2 linked regions of the Rattus norvegicus genome follow. The protein of the gene in region 1 binds, or shares a complex with, the protein of each later gene. Links are inferred from orthologs where the notes say so. Each region holds a gene or a part of one and is shown in the gene's direction. Other genes may lie near its edges.

The links.
Region 2: the proteins of Prkaa1 (region 1) and Prkag1 are in contact, whole or in part, in a crystal structure (PDB 6C9H), measured with the Homo sapiens proteins. The link is inferred for Rattus norvegicus from reciprocal best matches to the Homo sapiens genes PRKAA1 and PRKAG1. Residues at the interface, in NP_006242.5 of Homo sapiens: Ser295, Ser296, Thr297, Met298, Ile299, Asp301, Glu302, Lys305, Arg342, Glu347, Ala348, Phe351, Tyr352, Leu353, Arg369, His371, Pro372, Glu373, Pro376, Phe377, Asn449, Val451, Thr452, Thr536, Pro537, Arg538, Gly540, Ser541, His542, Thr543; in NP_002724.1 of Homo sapiens: His36, Asp40, Leu41, Ile42, Pro43, Thr44, Ser45, Val50, Leu64, Val65, Gly68, Val69, Arg70, Trp75, Ser77, Lys78, Lys79, Gln80, Phe82, Pro158, Glu159, Ser160, Gly161, Asn162, Lys170, Arg171, Lys174, Phe175, Leu178, Phe179.

What each region holds. Positions count from the first base shown.
Region 1 is NC_086020.1:55,995,076-55,998,892, forward strand, and holds part of Prkaa1 (5'-AMP-activated protein kinase catalytic subunit alpha-1), read left to right. Parts: intron 1-3,111; coding exon 3,112-3,598; intron 3,599-3,701; coding exon 3,702-3,817. UniProt on the Homo sapiens protein: Catalytic subunit of AMP-activated protein kinase (AMPK), an energy sensor protein kinase that plays a key role in regulating cellular energy metabolism.
Region 2 is NC_086025.1:131,842,200-131,846,016, reverse strand, and holds part of Prkag1 (5'-AMP-activated protein kinase subunit gamma-1), read left to right. Parts: intron 1-1,047; coding exon 1,048-1,157; intron 1,158-1,305; coding exon 1,306-1,387; intron 1,388-1,473; coding exon 1,474-1,532; intron 1,533-1,667; coding exon 1,668-1,713; intron 1,714-1,803; coding exon 1,804-1,858; intron 1,859-2,169; coding exon 2,170-2,296; intron 2,297-2,468; coding exon 2,469-2,634; intron 2,635-2,771; coding exon 2,772-2,809; intron 2,810-3,009; coding exon 3,010-3,156; intron 3,157-3,271; coding exon 3,272-3,379; 3' UTR 3,380-3,817. UniProt on the Homo sapiens protein: AMP/ATP-binding subunit of AMP-activated protein kinase (AMPK), an energy sensor protein kinase that plays a key role in regulating cellular energy metabolism.

The sequences.
Region 1 (3,817 bases):
CCATCCATCCATCCATCCATCCATCCATCCATCCATCCATCCATCCATCTATCCATTCACCCATCTACTCACCTACCCACCCACCCATCCACCCACCCATCCACCCATCCACCCACCCATCCATCCATCCACCCACCCATCCATCCATCCATCCATCCATCCATCCATCCATCCACCCACCCACCCATCCACCCATCCATCCATCCATCCATCCATCCATCCACCCACTCATCCACCCACCCATCCATCCATCCATCCACCCACTCATCCACCCACCCATCCATCCATCCACCCACCCATCCATCCATCCACCCACCCATCCATCCATCCATCTATCCATCCATCCACCCACTCATCCACCCACCCATCCATCCACCCACCCACCCATCCATCCATCCATCCACCCACTCATCCACCCACTCATCTACCCATCCATCCACCCACCCATCCATCCACCCATCCACCCACCCATCCATCCACCCATCTATCCACCCATCCACCCACTCATCCATCCACCCATCCACCCACCCATCCATCCACCCATCTATCCACCCATCCACCCACTCATCCATCCATCTACCCATCCATCCACCCATCCATCCACCCACCCACCCACCCATCCATCCACCCACCCACCCACTCACCCACCCATCCACCCACCCACCCATCCATCCTTCCATCCATAGTTCTGTTGAGACTATGTAGCCCTGGCTGTCCTGGAGCTCACTCTACAGACAAGGCTGGCTCTGTCTGCCTTTGCCTTTTGAGTGCTGGGATTAAAGGCATGTGCTGTCACCACTGCCCAGCAATATCAGATAATTTTAAACCAATGTATTTTTCTACCTTTTCAAATCTCAAGACACAAGAAAAATTTCATTTTATTAATGAGATGTTTTTCTTGTAGCAATACACATTGAGTCATAGGAGATTGCGTTTTACAGCTCATGCTGCATTGTGTATGATGGTTTAACCTAATAGCTTAAATAAGGCAGGGCTGATGGTGGCCGCTGTGCTGCTCAGGTTGTGGTAAGTCACATCTCAGGAACACTCCGTCCTCCCTGGACACCTTATTTTGTCACCAATATACCTTTGTTTTTCTTCTTAATTCTTTCATCTTTTGATGTTTTTATTTTCCTTAATTCTTTGATCTTCTGATGGCTAGTGCCTTAGTTAGGGTCTTATTGCTGTGAACAGACACCATGACCAGTGTAAGTTTTATAAAGGACAACATTTAATTGGGGCTGGCCTATAGGTTTAGAGGTTCAGTCCATTATCATCAAGGCAGGAGCATGGCAGCATCCAGGCAGGCATGGTGCAGGAGGAGCTGAGCTCTACATCTTCACCGGAAGGAAGCCAGAAACAGACTGAGCATCTCCAGGCAGCTAGGAGGAGGGTCTCCAAGCCCACCTCACAGTGACACACTTCCTCCAACAAGGCCACACCTTCTGATAGTGCCACTCTCTGGGCTAAACTTATACAAACCATCACAGCTAGACTGTACATTTTCCTGATATCGGAAGTGGAAAGAACTAAAGACAGACCATGCATATACGAGTAGCAAGTAGGAAGCCTTAAGGCACATGGAACTTTCAGTTGGTTCTTTCCCACTTACTTCTTATGCTAGAAGTCCTGTTGAAGCTGGGTATGGTGGTGCACACCTTTAACCCCAGCACTTGGGAGGTGGAGCCAGGGAGATGCCTGCGAGTTCAAAGCCAACATGGTTTACATAGTTCAGGGCAGTCAGAGCTATGTAATGTCGCCTGCACTCACCTGCATATAGACAGCAATTACAATGTAAAGAGAGACTTTGTTTCAAAAAACAAACACAGAAAGACCTGCTGAAAAGGAGACCCCAAGTGGCAGCACATGGCAGATGGGAAGGGGAACTCAGGCTATTAAATCAATAAAATGCTGTACATGGTGGTGCACACCCATGATCCCAGTACTTGAGAAGCTGAAAGAGAATGACAATGAGTCTGATTCCAGCCTGGGCTACAGTGAGGATTCTGTCTCAAAAAACCAGTCACCAGTTGGAAACAAATTATTATTCTTTTCTGTTTCCTTTGTTTTTGTTTTTAATGTTTGTTTATTTATTTATTGTATATGGGTGCACTGTAGCTGTTTTTAGACACCCCGGAAGAGGGCATCAGATCCCATTACAGATGGTTGTGAGCCACCATGTGGTTGCTGGGAATTGAACTCAGGACCTCTGGAAGAGCAGTGAGTGCTCTTAACCTCTTGAGCCATCTCTCCAGCCCTGTTTTTATTTTTTGTTAAAAGTTTAAGTTTTAGTATAGTTCTTGTTATGGTTCCATATCCTTTTATATATACAATTATATAATACAAATCGTCCAGAGGATGGTCTTTTGAGTCATATGCAGCTGGGTTGTAAGGATGAGGATAGATTTTCCATGGGTGAATGGTTTGTTGTAAAGCTAAGCTTGCATAAGAACCCATAGGATATTGCACACTTTTTGTTGGTAACATGAAACAGTGTAAACAGTGATGCCACACAACACAGTTTCTTTGTGGGCTGGAAAAAGACTGTACTCTGTCATTGTCATTTGGGTAGACATACATGCCTTTTCTTTTTTTCTTTTTTCTTTTTTTTGGAGCTGGGGATCGAACCCAGGGCTTTGCGCTTGCTAGGCAAGTGCTCTACCACTGAGCTAAATCCCCAACCCCCATACATGCCTTTTCATTTGACTGCCTCGATCCTTAAACATTAGTGGCAGGGGCTGGAGGGATGGCTCAGCGATTAACACCACTGGCTGCTCTTCCAGAGGTCCTGAGTTCAATTCCTAGCACCCACATGGTGGCTCACACCCATCTGTAATTGTAGTCCCATGGGATCCAATGCCTTCTTCTGGTGTGCAAATTGTACAAAGTACCCATACACATAAAAGTACATAAATAAAAAATTAGTGGCAGATTTTAATGTTTTTCTCAGCATATTCAATGAAGTATGAGCTAGAAGGGAAAACAGTTTAAAGAGAAAAGCTGTAGTAACGTAGCGTGAGTATTAATTCATATCCTAAACTCTTGAAACTACTACTTTTATTTTCTTGGTTTTACTGAAAATTCTTCTTCCAACATTGCTGTCTCTCTTAGGGAACATGAATGGTTTAAGCAGGACCTTCCAAAATATCTCTTTCCTGAAGACCCGTCTTATAGTTCAACCATGATTGATGATGAAGCCTTAAAAGAAGTGTGTGAGAAGTTCGAGTGCTCAGAGGAGGAGGTCCTCAGCTGCCTGTACAACAGAAACCACCAGGACCCACTGGCAGTTGCCTACCACCTCATAATAGACAACAGGAGAATAATGAACGAAGCCAAAGATTTCTACTTGGCAACAAGCCCACCCGATTCTTTCCTCGATGATCACCATTTAACTCGGCCTCACCCTGAGAGAGTACCATTCTTGGTTGCCGAAACACCAAGGGCCCGACACACCCTAGATGAATTAAACCCACAGAAATCCAAACACCAAGGCGTACGGAAGGCAAAGTGGCATTTGGGGATTCGAAGTCAAAGCCGACCCAATGACATCATGGCAGAAGTGTGTAGAGCAATCAAGCAGTTGGACTATGAATGGAAGGTAAGGCAGGTGCTCTAACACATTTAGCGAGCATTGTAGACAAAAGGCCTTTGTAGAAGAACTGATTTGATATGCCTTTGTTTCCATCCACATCAAATGCTAGGTTGTAAACCCCTATTATTTGCGTGTGCGAAGGAAGAACCCTGTGACAAGCACATTTTCCAAAATGAGTCTACAGCTATACCAAGTGGATAGTAGGACTTACTTATTGGATTTCCG
Region 2 (3,817 bases), on another chromosome or scaffold:
ACCAGTAAGAATTCAGAGTTTCGGAGTGAATGCAGCGTGGCAGACACCTTTAATCTCAGTACTGGGGAGGCAGAGGCAGGTGGGTTTCTCAATTCGAGAGAGTTCCAGGACAACCAGGGCTGCATAGAGAGACCCTGTCTTGAAAAATGGGAAAGGGGCCTGTGGGGGATGAAATGATGCATTATTTTGAAGTGTAAAGTACGTCAGACATCTAGATCGTCACTGTGGAGGTTGCCCTCCCCATTAGAGCAGGCAGATGAAAACACAGACTGTCAGGCATAGCTGCATACATCCCTGCAATCCCAACACTTGGAAAACGAAGGCAGTAGGATTACTACAAACTTGAGGCCAGGCGGGGCGTATAGCAAGGTTCTATCTCGAGTAAATGAAGGAGTCAGAGAGTTGGCTCAGCGTAAGAACACTGACTTCTCTTCCAGAGGACGAGTGGTCAACTCAGCACCCACATGGCAGCTCCCAGCTGTCGGTAATTCCCAGGCCTCAGCAGGCAGCAGGCACACATGTGTGCACAGGCAACAAAGTAAAACACCCATTCAGAAAAAGCAAATCGGGTTGGGGATTTAGCTCAGTGGTAGAGCGCTTGCCTAGGAAGCGCAAGGCCCTGGGTTCGGTCCCCAGCACCGGAAAAAAAAAAAGAACCAAAAAAAAAGAAAAGAAAAAGCAAATCCCCCCCACCCCAAGAAAATCAAGTTTTTCTTTTAAAAACCCCTTACAATTATTTAAAAGACAAAAACTGGGGTTGGGGATTTAGCTCAGTGGTAGAGCGCTTGCCTAGCAAGCGCAAGGCCCTGGGTTCGGTCCCCAGCTCCCAAAAAAAAAAAAAAAAAAAAAGACAAAAACCCCAAAAGTCATAATCCAGAAGAATGGAGGGAAACCTGGCCAGGCCCCGCCATTTGGATTTCTGAATCTTGGGTGGTCCTCCATGCTCTGGCCAGGTTGACTGAGCGCTTAGTATTATTAGCAACGGCCTTGCCTGGACCGTGAGTTCTCCACCTACGTAAAAGTGATGCACGACTCTTCCACCCATAGAGACCCCGGAATCGAACAGTAGTGTGTACACCACCTTCATGAAGTCTCATCGCTGCTATGACCTGATCCCCACAAGCTCCAAGCTGGTGGTATTTGATACTTCGCTGCAGGTGGGTAGAGCCCTTCCTTTCTACGTTCCTCAAACGCGCTAGTCCAAAGCCCGTCATCATCCGCCATACTCCCCCACACACCAACCCATTCTTCTTGCAGCTGTGCCTTGTGAGGATTTTCCTTAGGATGTTGCTCTCTTGGCCATAGGTAAAGAAAGCCTTCTTTGCCCTGGTGACTAACGGTGTTCGTGCTGCCCCTTTGTGGGATAGTAAGAAGCAGAGCTTTGTGGGTAAGCAGAAGTTCCTGGAATACAGTTATTGCCAGTCAGGGAGAAAAGCTCTGGACTGTGCTGAGGGCTCTTGTCTTGGCTTCTAGGCATGCTGACCATCACTGACTTCATCAATATTCTGCACCGATACTACAAGTCAGCCCTGGTAAGGAACCTGAACCTCCGAACCAAAACCACAGCCCTGCCTTTGGCTCCACTGTGCCTTGTTTTCTCCCCTCCAAGCCAAGCTCCTTGGGTTAAGAGGGGAAGTGAGTCTCAAGTCTGCTGCTCCTGCTTCTAGGTGCAGATCTATGAACTGGAGGAGCACAAGATAGAGACTTGGAGAGGTATGGACAAGTTGTAGCAGATGAGGGATGGAGGGTGTCCCGGGAAGCACTTACGTGGCAGTGTTTGTGAACTGTCCCTGTTCTCTTCAGAGGTCTACCTGCAAGACTCCTTTAAGCCACTTGTCTGCATTTCTCCAAATGCCAGGTGAGTTCTGGTTTTGTGTTTATCCCTAAACACCTGAAGACCCCGCCTCGTGCACGCTGCCTTTGGTTGTTTGCTTGCTTGTGAAGAAGTCTTCCCAGAGCCACAGCTGGCCTTGACCTTTCTGTAGAGTTCAGGCTGTCCTGAACCTGTAACTCTTCTGTTTGTCCTAGTACAGACTTACAAGTATTCACCACGCCCAGCCGTTACACACAGCTCGTCAAGTCTGAGCACTGAGCTATAACCACACTCTAAGGGGCTGTGCAGCTGGGCTTTAGCCCTGTGGAACCTGACTATGATCTGTCTTCTCACAGCTTGTTCGATGCTGTCTCTTCATTAATTCGAAATAAGATCCACAGGCTTCCAGTTATTGACCCGGAGTCAGGCAACACCTTGTACATTCTTACTCACAAGCGGATCCTCAAGTTCCTCAAGTTGTTTGTAAGTATACCTCAGCCGCTCATCCGTCTTATATGATGGATTGGAGACATATGCACAGCAGTTTGGGGGCCCTAAAGGTCGAGCTGACAGGTCAGTGGTTTGGTGCTGAGGATTGAACCTAGCACCTCATGGTCTACCAGGAAAGCTCCTGAAAACTGATGGCTTTCCTCAGATCACTGAGTTCCCCAAGCCGGAATTCATGTCTAAGTCTCTGGAAGAGCTACAGATTGGCACCTACGCCAATATTGCCATGGTCCGTACCACTACACCTGTCTATGTGGCTCTGGGCATCTTTGTACAGCACCGAGTCTCCGCCTTGCCTGTGGTGGATGAGAAAGGTGAGTGATGGGGCAAGAAGAGGGAGGCTGCCAGGCTCAGGCAGGTCTCCCCAACCCAGCCCGGAAGGTGGTCCACAGGGAGTGGGGCTTTGGCCACCACACTCCTCTGTTTCACTGACTTGCCTCTGTCTCCCTAGGGCGTGTGGTGGACATCTACTCCAAGTTTGATGTGATTGTGAGTGGTGGGGCTGGGAGATAGGGGAGGGGAGGGGGTGCTGGGGGTGGAGAGGGAGCAGAGGGGTCTCCTCCGCCTGAACCAGCTGGCAGAACTGCTTGTGAGCAATGGTCAAGAGCGCCCTCACTCCCTCTAGTGAGGTCGGGTTGGTCCAGGGTTTGGGAACTGACTCCCCTTCAAAGCCTGCTCCCCACTTCCAGAATTTGGCAGCAGAAAAGACATACAACAACCTAGATGTGTCTGTGACAAAAGCCCTACAGCACCGGTCACACTACTTCGAGGGTGTTCTCAAGTGCTACCTACATGAGACTCTAGAAGCAATCATCAATAGACTGGTGGAAGCAGAGGTAGGAAGCGGCCAGCCTCAGGCAGCCAGTGGGGAGTGGCCCCAAGAGGGTAGGGGTGAGGCAGCTACCCTAACTGCAGCTAGCACTCACATTACTTCTTGTTCCTCTGTGCCAGGTTCACCGTCTGGTGGTGGTGGATGAACATGACGTGGTCAAGGGCATTGTATCGCTGTCTGACATCTTACAGGCTCTGGTGCTCACAGGTGGAGAGAAGAAGCCCTGAGCATGGGGCGGAACAGGCAGTGCCTGGGGAGATGGCCCCCTCACTGCCTGCCTGCTGTAAGAGCCGGAATCAGATGGAATCCTGAGAGAACGGAGTCTTCCCTCAGGAGCTCCACGCCCACTGTCTAGAACTAGAGAAGGGGAAAGGAGGAGAAGGACTGTTAGCTTCTCTCACCATCGTGCTACACTTGAGAAAACACTTGTCAGCCTAGCCAGCCCCAGTCGCTCGTCACAGCCCCCTTGTGGGTGAACCATGGGTTTTGTGCTCCTCAGGCAGATCCTGATCTCTAAGAGATCCCTAGACCTCACCACGCCCCACCTCTGTCTCTGCCCTTACTCCACTAAGAGAATAGCTCTGCAGAAGTCTTGGTAAAGTATTTTTATTCCTCTTTCTTCACTCTGTGTGGAGGAGGCTGGGCTGTTTGCTGTCAGTCCTTCC